3 linked regions of the Callithrix jacchus genome follow. The protein of the gene in region 3 purifies or fractionates together with the protein of the main gene of each other region. This does not show direct contact. Links are inferred from orthologs where the notes say so. Each region holds a gene or a part of one and is shown on either strand. Other genes may lie near its edges. The genes, in order: MYCBP2, HSP90AB1 and LGALS3BP.

Evidence for each region.
Region 1: the proteins of LGALS3BP (region 3) and MYCBP2 purify together in Homo sapiens (co-immunoprecipitation; 3 studies listed by BioGRID and IntAct, counting the BioPlex papers as one, with this or other methods). This does not show direct contact. The link is inferred for Callithrix jacchus from reciprocal best matches to the Homo sapiens genes LGALS3BP and MYCBP2.
Region 2: the proteins of LGALS3BP (region 3) and HSP90AB1 purify together in Homo sapiens (affinity purification with mass spectrometry; 3 studies listed by BioGRID and IntAct, with this or other methods). This does not show direct contact. The link is inferred for Callithrix jacchus from reciprocal best matches to the Homo sapiens genes LGALS3BP and HSP90AB1.

Annotation. Positions count from the first base shown.
Region 1 is NC_133502.1:38,207,448-38,211,102, reverse strand, and holds part of MYCBP2 (E3 ubiquitin-protein ligase MYCBP2), read right to left. Parts: coding exon 3,301-3,655; intron 2,412-3,300; coding exon 2,242-2,411; intron 1,525-2,241; coding exon 1,280-1,524; intron 1-1,279. UniProt on the Homo sapiens protein: Atypical E3 ubiquitin-protein ligase which specifically mediates ubiquitination of threonine and serine residues on target proteins, instead of ubiquitinating lysine residues.
Region 2 is NC_133505.1:52,714,804-52,717,480, reverse strand, and holds part of HSP90AB1 (heat shock protein HSP 90-beta), read right to left. Parts: intron 2,390-2,677; coding exon 2,183-2,389; intron 2,081-2,182; coding exon 1,921-2,080; intron 1,718-1,920; coding exon 1,584-1,717; intron 1,450-1,583; coding exon 1,141-1,449; intron 760-1,140; coding exon 594-759; intron 381-593; coding exon 190-380; intron 64-189; coding exon 1-63. UniProt on the Homo sapiens protein: Molecular chaperone that promotes the maturation, structural maintenance and proper regulation of specific target proteins involved for instance in cell cycle control and signal transduction. Undergoes a functional cycle linked to its ATPase activity.
Region 3 is NC_133506.1:134,722,332-134,725,426, reverse strand, and holds part of LGALS3BP (galectin-3-binding protein), read left to right. Parts: intron 1-847; coding exon 848-979; intron 980-3,095.

The sequences.
Region 1 (3,655 bases), on a different chromosome or scaffold from region 3:
CCAAGTAGCCAATCTGATGTCAAAGATCAATTTCTCCAGAGGAAGTTTGAAAGAACTTCTCTCATTGGACGAGAACATGAATGGGGAGGGAATAATTCAAGGGTTAAAACTTCAGCTGCTCCTTACCTATAGGATTTCCCTCTCTGGGGTCCCCTCCCATGACAGCGTGGGAGTGGTCTTCTTTCTCTCTTTGTCTAATAAATCACTTTTCAACAAAACTCTTTGGGTCCACGATATTTATTTGAAAGGCAAAGTCACCGCGCCTCCAACCCCCCTTTCTCCATTCTTTGGGGTTAGAGAGGCCAAGAACCTCCCATCCCGGGGGAGATGGGTACCCTCACAGGGTTACATGAACTTACTTAGAGAAGGGTAGCTACCCTCTATCTTTACTTCTGGACGTTAATATACCGCACATTCAAAAAACTGAATGTTAAATAGATTGAATGTTAAAAATTGTTGTTAAATAGATTGATACAGAAACCAATTAACCTTTTGCTGACCTTACAGGGCTTAGTATTTGTTGCCCAACAGACTTTGAAGGGCACCCCACCAATGTTTCAGAAATGGACCAACTCTCAAGGAGGAAATGGGACAATGGCAGGGAAGAACAGAAATGCTAAAGGAGTGTAAGGAGAAGGGGTTTAAGAAAACATCTGGAGGATGTCACAGGACGCACCTCAAGACACCAGAGTTAAGGATCCTGTGAACAGACCGTCTCAAAATCCTAACACCCTACATACATGCTTCTATTGTAGCACTTCTCACACAGCATTTCAAATGTTTCACTGACATGCCTGACTTGACATCGGAGTATGAGTACACAGAAGCCAGGATTTTGTTATATTCATTCATTCAGGACCTTTTTTTTGTTATACTCATTCATTCATTAGCACAATACTGGTGCTAATTTAATACTGGTACTCATTTAAATGCTAACAGAATGAATAATTTACAAAATAAAAGTCTGCTACAGGAAACATCACTTTCTTTCTACTTCAGCATTTCCCACTAACAGACTGAAGTCAGCCTACCAAAGAGTAAAAGATAGCTACAGTCTTATTTTCTAAGACATATTTTTTATTCGTAACAATGCAAATTGATGAAGCATTTTTATAGTTTTTAAAATACCTATTACCATAAAGTCGTATGTCAGTCAAGGAAACTCAAACAAATGCCTGGAAGTTTCTTTATAGTACCACATCTAATGAAGTGTAGGTCAGTAAACAATCACCGTTAATCCACAGGTGATTAAAAAAAAGAAAAACCAAAATTTTATTACCTAGCTAATGTCTGCAGGTAGAGACAGGGCATTTTCACAGGCAGATCCTCAGAAATGCCTTCTTTCACGCTGGGCAACTGAGATTGGAACGGCTTTGCAGGATGGTAACACAGAATGCTTGGTTCTGCTGCGCTGCTCAGGGACAGCAGGAAGAGTGCGTTGGCTTTAATCACTTGGTGAGCTTCCATGGTGGGCAAGGCACGGGGGGTCTTGACTTGCATTGGTTTCCTCCTGGATTGTTTGACCTGGCAAAGAAAAAAATCAAAGTGATCCTTCCTGACTTACATTAAAATCCTTGGTTTCCTAAGCTAAGTATTTTGAGTTTCCCATTAAAAATTATTGAACACTTGTAAAACTATTTTAAAATAATAAGATTATAAAAGACAACATTTACTTCATATTTGTCCTGGGCTGAGTGAGACTATTTTGTATCAAACACAAACTATGCTTCCTTACTTTCTTCAGAAAAATATAATACCTAACCAGTTAAATCTAAAAATAATTCATTTTAAAAAGAGTAAATCATCTTAGTGTGTTATTCAGCAAAATTTTTTGGTTAGGTATGCCACTAAGGTGAATAAGGAAAAGAGAGAATAGATATGAAATAGGAAAATAAAGGAGTCAAAAAAAGAGGAAGAGAAAAGAGAAGGAAGGTGAAAAGGAAGGGTCTGTATATGTAGAGAGTAACAGACAATAATGAAGAGGTACAACACATATTTGTCAATAAGGCGTATGTAGCACAGGTTAATTATCTAGTGTTATTCCAATATATAGCTATTTTTTAAACTTATGAACAGGTGACTTAGTACAAATATTAAATTTATACATGATTTCCACTGTAGAAGCTGATCTTTAATATCAACTATGTGGAATTATCTGACGTAATAATAAGATCACAAAATGCGATTTTTATAAAGTGTATCCATATCATTAAAAGTATAGCTCCGAATGGAATCAAATACCTTCTCCCTTGCAGCAGCCTGTTTTTCACGGAGGTATTTTTCTCTACAACGATCACATACCAGGTACCACGTGCTTCCTCCTATGCCACCATCACCACAGTTACCAGCCCATCCTCCACAAAAATGCCCAATACTATTATATCCTTGTCCACCAGCATACCGGCCACAACCTTGAAACAATAACAAAAATAAATATTTAACACTCGAAGTGGCCTTAATAGTTTAATCCTTACTACTCGTACATTAATGACAGATTGACCGTCTCAAAGAAAGCAAAATACTCAAGTAGACACCTGATTTTCAGGCTACTAACTATATCAGAAAAATAGGTTACCTGATCAAAAGCAATCAATTAAATGATGCCCAAAATATTAGAGATACTTAGTTTCTATTCAGAATGATTAAAAAAAAGATAGGATACAGGTACATTTAGATATACTTAATTATGTCAATAAAATGAGACAAAACAAGTATAACAGTTCTATAACAATGATATATTTTCAGAAATCACATATTGATAAAACATTCGAGGTATAATATGTAGACAAAGAAAAAAATTAACCAAATTTGTACTAGGTGAATTTGGACTATTGATCAATGTTACAGAAATCCTTACATTTACTGAAAATGCAGTCTTCTTATCAATCAATGTCACTTTCATAGGAAGCAGCCTACAAAAATCAGTATAATCTAATTTAGTCTGCAATTGTGAACAGGAAAATACTAAAATAAAAGGAGATGGCCTGTGGGTACGGTCATGCCATTGTTTCTATTGTGTGAGACAGACACCTTAACGGCACCCTTTGTGTAACACATAAAATTTTTTGAAACATGCTACAGGAAAGTAAAATAGCACTAAATGACCTGGCCATCATACTGTTAGAATTTCTTTTATCTGTTTTTCACAAAACCCTGTATGGATAATGTACTTTAAAAATGACGTTCTAAGATACTATAAACTTTCTATCCTTTGATATAATTCATAGAACAGCTCAAATGAAGTGATCCCATTCATTAAAGAAAAAAGTACTTTTATGTACATTGGACAGTATCCTTTACCTGGGTGGGCTTGTCTCATGTGATAGGTCACCGGGTACGGATGTGACTCCCCACAGAGTTCACAGATGGTATCTTTCTCTGGTCCTCCCACTGCCAGCTGGGCCATCTCTCCAAACAAATTACCCCTGGGCCTAACTTCTGCCTTTTCTTTTTTCTTTTTTTCCTTTTTGGCCTTCTTATTCTCTTTCTCACATTCTTTCTTTTTAAGAACTGCACAGGAACCAGGACTTGGAAAAATCATATTCTGGGAAGCAGCTTTGATAGTAGCCAAAGAGATGTCTTCCCAAAAAGCCACTAAATGTTGCAAAGTTAAGGGAAGAGGAGATTTAGACTTCATTGTATGATGCATGGACAT
Region 2 (2,677 bases), on a different chromosome or scaffold from region 3:
GGTGTGATAGCGCAGCAGCTCAGACAGGCGGCGACGGTTAGTGGAATCCTCGTGAATTCCAAGCTTGAAGAGTGGGAAGAGAAAAAAACAATCCAACTTAACTAAAATAACCTTGCCTTCTATAAGAATGGTAGAATTTATCGTAATTACTAAGAAAGTGGTAAAGGGAATAACCATGTGCCTCCTTACCTTGAGATTTTTAGAGAATGCCTCATAGAATTTCTTATAATTCTCCTTGTCTTCTGCCAGCTCAGAGAAGAGCTCAAGGCATTTCTTAACAATGTTTTTGCGAATGACTTTCAAGATTTTGCTCTGTTGGAGCATTTCTCGGGAGATGTTCAGAGGCAAATCCTCAGAGTCAACCACACCACGGATAAAGTCTGCCATCAACCAGGATGAGAAAACTCAGTAAAAACAGCTAGACCAGACCTGGTACCCAGATTCAAAGAGAAGGCGCTATTGCCCCCTGAACCCTCACACACTATGTATTGCAGAGAACTATTACACCTAGGAATAAGACTTTTTAGTTGCAGAATGTTGAAAACCTTGCCCCAAGACTTCACCCAACTAAATTATGCCAAGGACATACTCACTGAGATACTCTGGTATCAACTCATCACAGCTGTCCATGATGAATACACGACGGACATAGAGTTTGATGTTGTTCTTCTTCTTCTTGTTCTCAAAAAGGTCAAAGGGAGCCCGACGAGGAATGAATAGCAATGCCCTGAATTCCAACTGACCTTCTACAGAAAAGTGCTGAAAGAATCCAAACATAAACAAGTAGTAGTACATTTCCAAAGAGTGCCTTTTAGCCCCAACAAATTACCTAAAAGTGGAACAATGATCCTCCCTAAGCCTAAAGGACAAAGCACACACAACAGGCAGCTCTCTAGAAAACCGAGCCTTAATGCTCTCAATGATCAGGGGCAGACATTACCAAGATTACCATCAGAAGACAAAGTGAGGTCATTAGGAAGGATAGCTCCTCACTGTGACAGGGTAATCAATGAAATCACATGGTTCTCAACATTTCTGTGATCAGGAGGACAAGTTCCATGTGTCTATTACCTGCCAAAACGCCACCTACTCACTCCTCTCCATATTTGTATGTTGAGCCAATGTGCAAGGGCTTCTCACCTTGACTGCCAAGTGGTCTTCCCAGTCATTGGTGAGGCTTTTGTAGAATTCTCCATACTCCTCTTGAGTGATGTCATCAGGGTTTCTAGTCCAAATAGGCTTAGTCTTGTTTAGTTCTTCCTGATCAATGTATTTCTCTTTGATCTTCTTAGTTTTCTTCTTCTTATCCTTACCACTATCATCCTCCTCGTCTGAACCCACATCTTCAATCTTGGGCTTTTCTTCATCATCTTTATCTTCCTCTTCTTTCTCACCTTTCTCTTCCTCTGCCTCATCATCACTAATTTCCTTCTCTCGTTCCTTCTCCAACTAAACAACAAAAACAAAAGTTAGCCTTGAGTACTAACCACTAACAGGGAAAGCAAAAGCCAGGGCCCATGATGACTCCAGAACAGGAAACACCCTGCACGTTAAGTGAAAAAGGTTTAAAAGTCCACACTCACATAGAGGGTGATGGGATAGCCTATGAACTGAGAGTGCTTCTTCACTACTTCTTTGACCCGCCTTTCTTCTAAGTACTCTGTCTGATCTTCTTTAAGGTGGAGGATCACTTTGGTACCCCTGCCAATGGGCTCACCTACAAGAGTCAGTCACAAGCATGTAACAGGGTGAAAATATAAAAGCAGTTAAGACTTCACCAAGCCAAAAAAAAAAAAAAAAAAGTATATTAGCGAGGCTGCTATAATTTCAACTGCTTTACAAACAGGATGCTAAAAATTTCTGCCACTTCACAAGCCCAGAAAACTCCAACCCAGCTTAACTTGTAACGGGAGAGCTTACCATGGTCAGCACGCACAGTGAAGGAACCTCCAGCAGAAGACTCCCAGGCATACTGTTCATCATCATTGTGCTTTGTGATCACAACCACTTTCTCTGCCACCAGGTAGGCAGAATAAAAGCCAACACCAAATTGCCCAATCATGGAGATGTCTGCACCAGCCTGCCAACAAGTTATTTAAAGTCAAACACAAGTTTTCGAAAAGCAACAAACCAAAGCACACTGACAAATATGAATGGTGTGTGCCTGCAAAACTGCACATACCTGAAGAGCCTCCATGAATGCTTTAGTACCAGACTTGGCAATGGTTCCCAAATTATTTATGAGATCTGCTTTGGTCATGCCAATGCCCGTGTCTACCAAAGTCAAGGTACGTTCCTGAGGGTTGGGGATGATGTCAATTTTCAGCTCTTTACCACTGTCCAACTTTGAAGGGTCTGTCAGGCTCTCATAGCGAATCTTGTCCAAGGCCTGAAAATACAAATAGGAATTTGCTTTTGTTTTCCCTTTAAGACAGGCTCTGGCTCTGTCGCTCAAGCTACGGTGCAATGTTAAGGATCACAGCTCACTGCAGCCTGGACCTCCCAGGCTCAAGCCACACTCCCACGTAGCTGGACTACAGGCACATGCTACCATGGCCACTTAATATTTTTTTTTTTTTTGCAGAAACAAGATCTTGCTATGTTGCCCTTAAAGTCCTAGATTCAAGTGATTCTCCTGCCTTGGCATTACAGGTGTGGAGCCAACAGCTCGACCAAT
Region 3 (3,095 bases):
AAAGTTTTTTTTTTTGAGATGGAGTCTCACTCTGTCGGCCAGGCTGGAGTACAGCAATGTGATTTCAGCTCACTGCAACCTCGGCCTCCTGAGTTCAAGTGATTCTCCTGCCTCAGCCTTCTGAGTAGCTGGGATCACAGGTACCTGCCACCACACCTGGCTGATTTTTGTATTTTTTAGTAAAGACGGTGCTTTGCCATGCTGGCCAGGCTGGTCTTGAACTCCTAGCCTTAAGTGATCTGCAACCTCGGCCTCTGAAAGTGCTGGGATTACCACACCCAGCCTGAAAGCAAACACTTTGGATGGCGCAGAAGCCCTGTGGGTCCTGCTCCAATGGAACTGTGTCACCCATGCCTGGCTTGTGATGGTGGCTGGAGCTTGGGCAGGTTCAAGACCTTAGCTGGGCTCATTTGCTCTGGCCCTGAAACTCCACTCCAGGGAGTTTATATTCTTGAAACAATTTCCCCTCAAAAGAGAAGTCTGTAGGCAGAAGATTTTCACTGATGCAGCAGTTGCGATTCTGGGAAAAAGAGAAATAATCCACCCACTATTTAGCAGCAAGGATAGTCACACAATTGCAGTATATGAACCTGATGTCGCAGGGATAGGCACACAATTAGAACACATGAATCTGATGTCTGCAGCAGCCAGTAAGCTTTATAAGCATGAAGGCTAAGTTCATGGCCTGACGTTGCAATCACAAATCCAACCCACGCTGGAATATCCACCATGGTTTACCGGTGAAGGACCTGCCCGGCCGGCGCGGGGAACAAAGGGCTGAGTTTCGCTGTGGGGCTGCTGGGTGCAGTCCTCAGGCCCCCAGCCCTGCCATCTGCTGCGTCCACAGGATCGGGCCCCATCATGCTGGATGAGGTCCAGTGCACGGGAACTGAGCCCTCGCTGGCTGACTGCACATCTCTGGGCTGGCTGCACAGCAACTGCAGGCACGAGAGGGACGCTGGTGTGGTGTGCACCAACGGTGAGTGGGGGGTTCCAGCATGCCTTGGGGGCCTGTGGCCCCTGCCCCTCCCAGCACCTCCCCAACACACGTGAAGCACACAAAGGTTCCTTCCACCACTACCTGCCCACTCCGAATGGAGAGGCCCTGAATCCAGAGAGCCCACCAGCTCCCAGTCCCCCAGGCCCAGACTCCTCCCCAGCCCCTTCTGGAGAAACACCCCAAGGAACCTGAGTGGGAGGCAGTGAGACACAGCCCCAGTGAGCACGACACCTGGCTCCACCTGACCTGAAATGCCAGTGCCCGCTTGGAAACACTCCCCAGCGTGACAGGCTCAAGCGCATCCTGGCAGAGGAGGCCCAGTTACTGACAGCCGCAGCCTGCTTCTCCCAACCCACCCTGATTTGCAGGGAACCCAGGCAGCTCTGCAGGCTAAAGCCCCTGGATCTGAGTTTTTTGTTGTTGTTTTTGAGATGAAGTCTCACTCTGTCACCCAGGTTGGAGTGCAGTGGCACAATCTCAGCTCTCTGCCCTCTGCCTCCTGGGTTCAAACAATTCTGCCTCAGCCTCCTGAGTAGCTGGGATTACAGGCACTTGCCACCAAGCCTGGCTAATTTTTGTATTTTAGTAGAGACGGTTTCACCATGTTGGTCAGGCTGGACTTGAACTCCTGACCTGGTGATCCACCCAACTTGGCCTCCACAGTGCTGGGATTACAGGCATGAGCCACTGCACCCGGCTGGATTTGAGTTTCATGGTTTTCTTTCCTCTCCTGCTGCCGAGGTGGCTCTTCCTGGGCTTGCCACCCACTACCCTTTGTCAGGAGCCCCTAAGACAGGAGGGATCGAATCCCAGGGAGCCCCTGTGCTCACAGGGGACAAACAAGTAGCTGGAGCTGAGCCTGGCCTCACAGTGGGGGAAGCCCAGGAGACACCATGGGGCTGTCGGGGGTTCGGTGGGGGGAGGCGGGTGGGAGGAGCACGTGGGGCCGTGGGTGCAGGGCAAAGGCTCCTGTGGCAGGGGAGCTGTGGTGAAGAGCAGGTGGGAGGGAGCTGGGGCCTCAGGTGTGAGGAGGCCCAGGGCGAGCCCACCTGGTTGAAACCTCACAATTACTTCAAATCTATTAAAGCCTTTGTGGCAAAGAAAGAACTTATGGGATTTAGTTTTGAGTTAGGCTTTGAGAGGGCTCAAAGAAGGGGGAAGGGTGCAGCACACTGACTCCCGACCCGCGAGCCTCCCATGACTTCTCCAGGCCTTGTGCCTCACAGGAGGCTGCTTGGGGACCCCCAGAGTTCTAAAATGGGGTTGCCACAGGACCCTGACTTTTCAGGCCATCTAAGCAGGTAGTGGTTTTGGTTTGAGGTAGGCAGCGTCTGTGGTGATTGACTGAATGAGGCTGGGGAGTGGGGCTCCGAGTCAGCACCACCAAGTCCCCAGGCGGGACTGCTGCCTGAATCCGAGGGAGCAGAACGCAGCAGAGGACCTTTAGCGGGGATCTGGACAGGATTGGCCAGGTCTCAGCTGCTCTGGTTCCGCGAGGCTGGAAGAGGTGGGGCCTCGGGGTTGAAAGGGGTAGAGCTCGGGATGGGAAAGGGTGGGGCCTCAGGGCTGGAAGGGGTGAGCCTCGGGGCTGGGAAGGGGTAGGGCCTCAGGGCTGAAAGGGGTGGGCCTCGGGGCTGGAAGGGGTAGGGCCTCAGGGCTGGAAGGGGTGGGCCTCGGGGCTGAAATGGGTAGAGCTCGGGGCTGGAAGGGGTGGGCCTCGAGGCTGAACGGGGTGGGGCCTCAGGGCTGGAAGGGGTGGGGCCTCAGGGCTGGAAGGGGTGGGCCTCGGGGGCTGGAAGGGGTGGGCCTCGGGGGCTGGAAGGGGTAGAGCTCGGGGCTGGAAGGGGTGGGGCCTCGGGGCTGGAAGGGGTGTGCCTCGGGGCTGAAAGGGGTGGGGCTCGGGGCTGGAAGGGGTGGGGCCTCAGGGCTGGAAGGGGTGGGCCTCGGGGCTGGAAGGGGTGGGGCCTCGGGGCTGGAAGGGGTGGGCCTCGGGGCTGAAAGGGATGGGGCTCGGGGCTGGAAGGGGTGGGGCCTCAGGGCTGGAAGGGGTGGGGCCTCAGGGCTGGAAGGGGTGGGCCTCGAGGCTGGAAGGGGT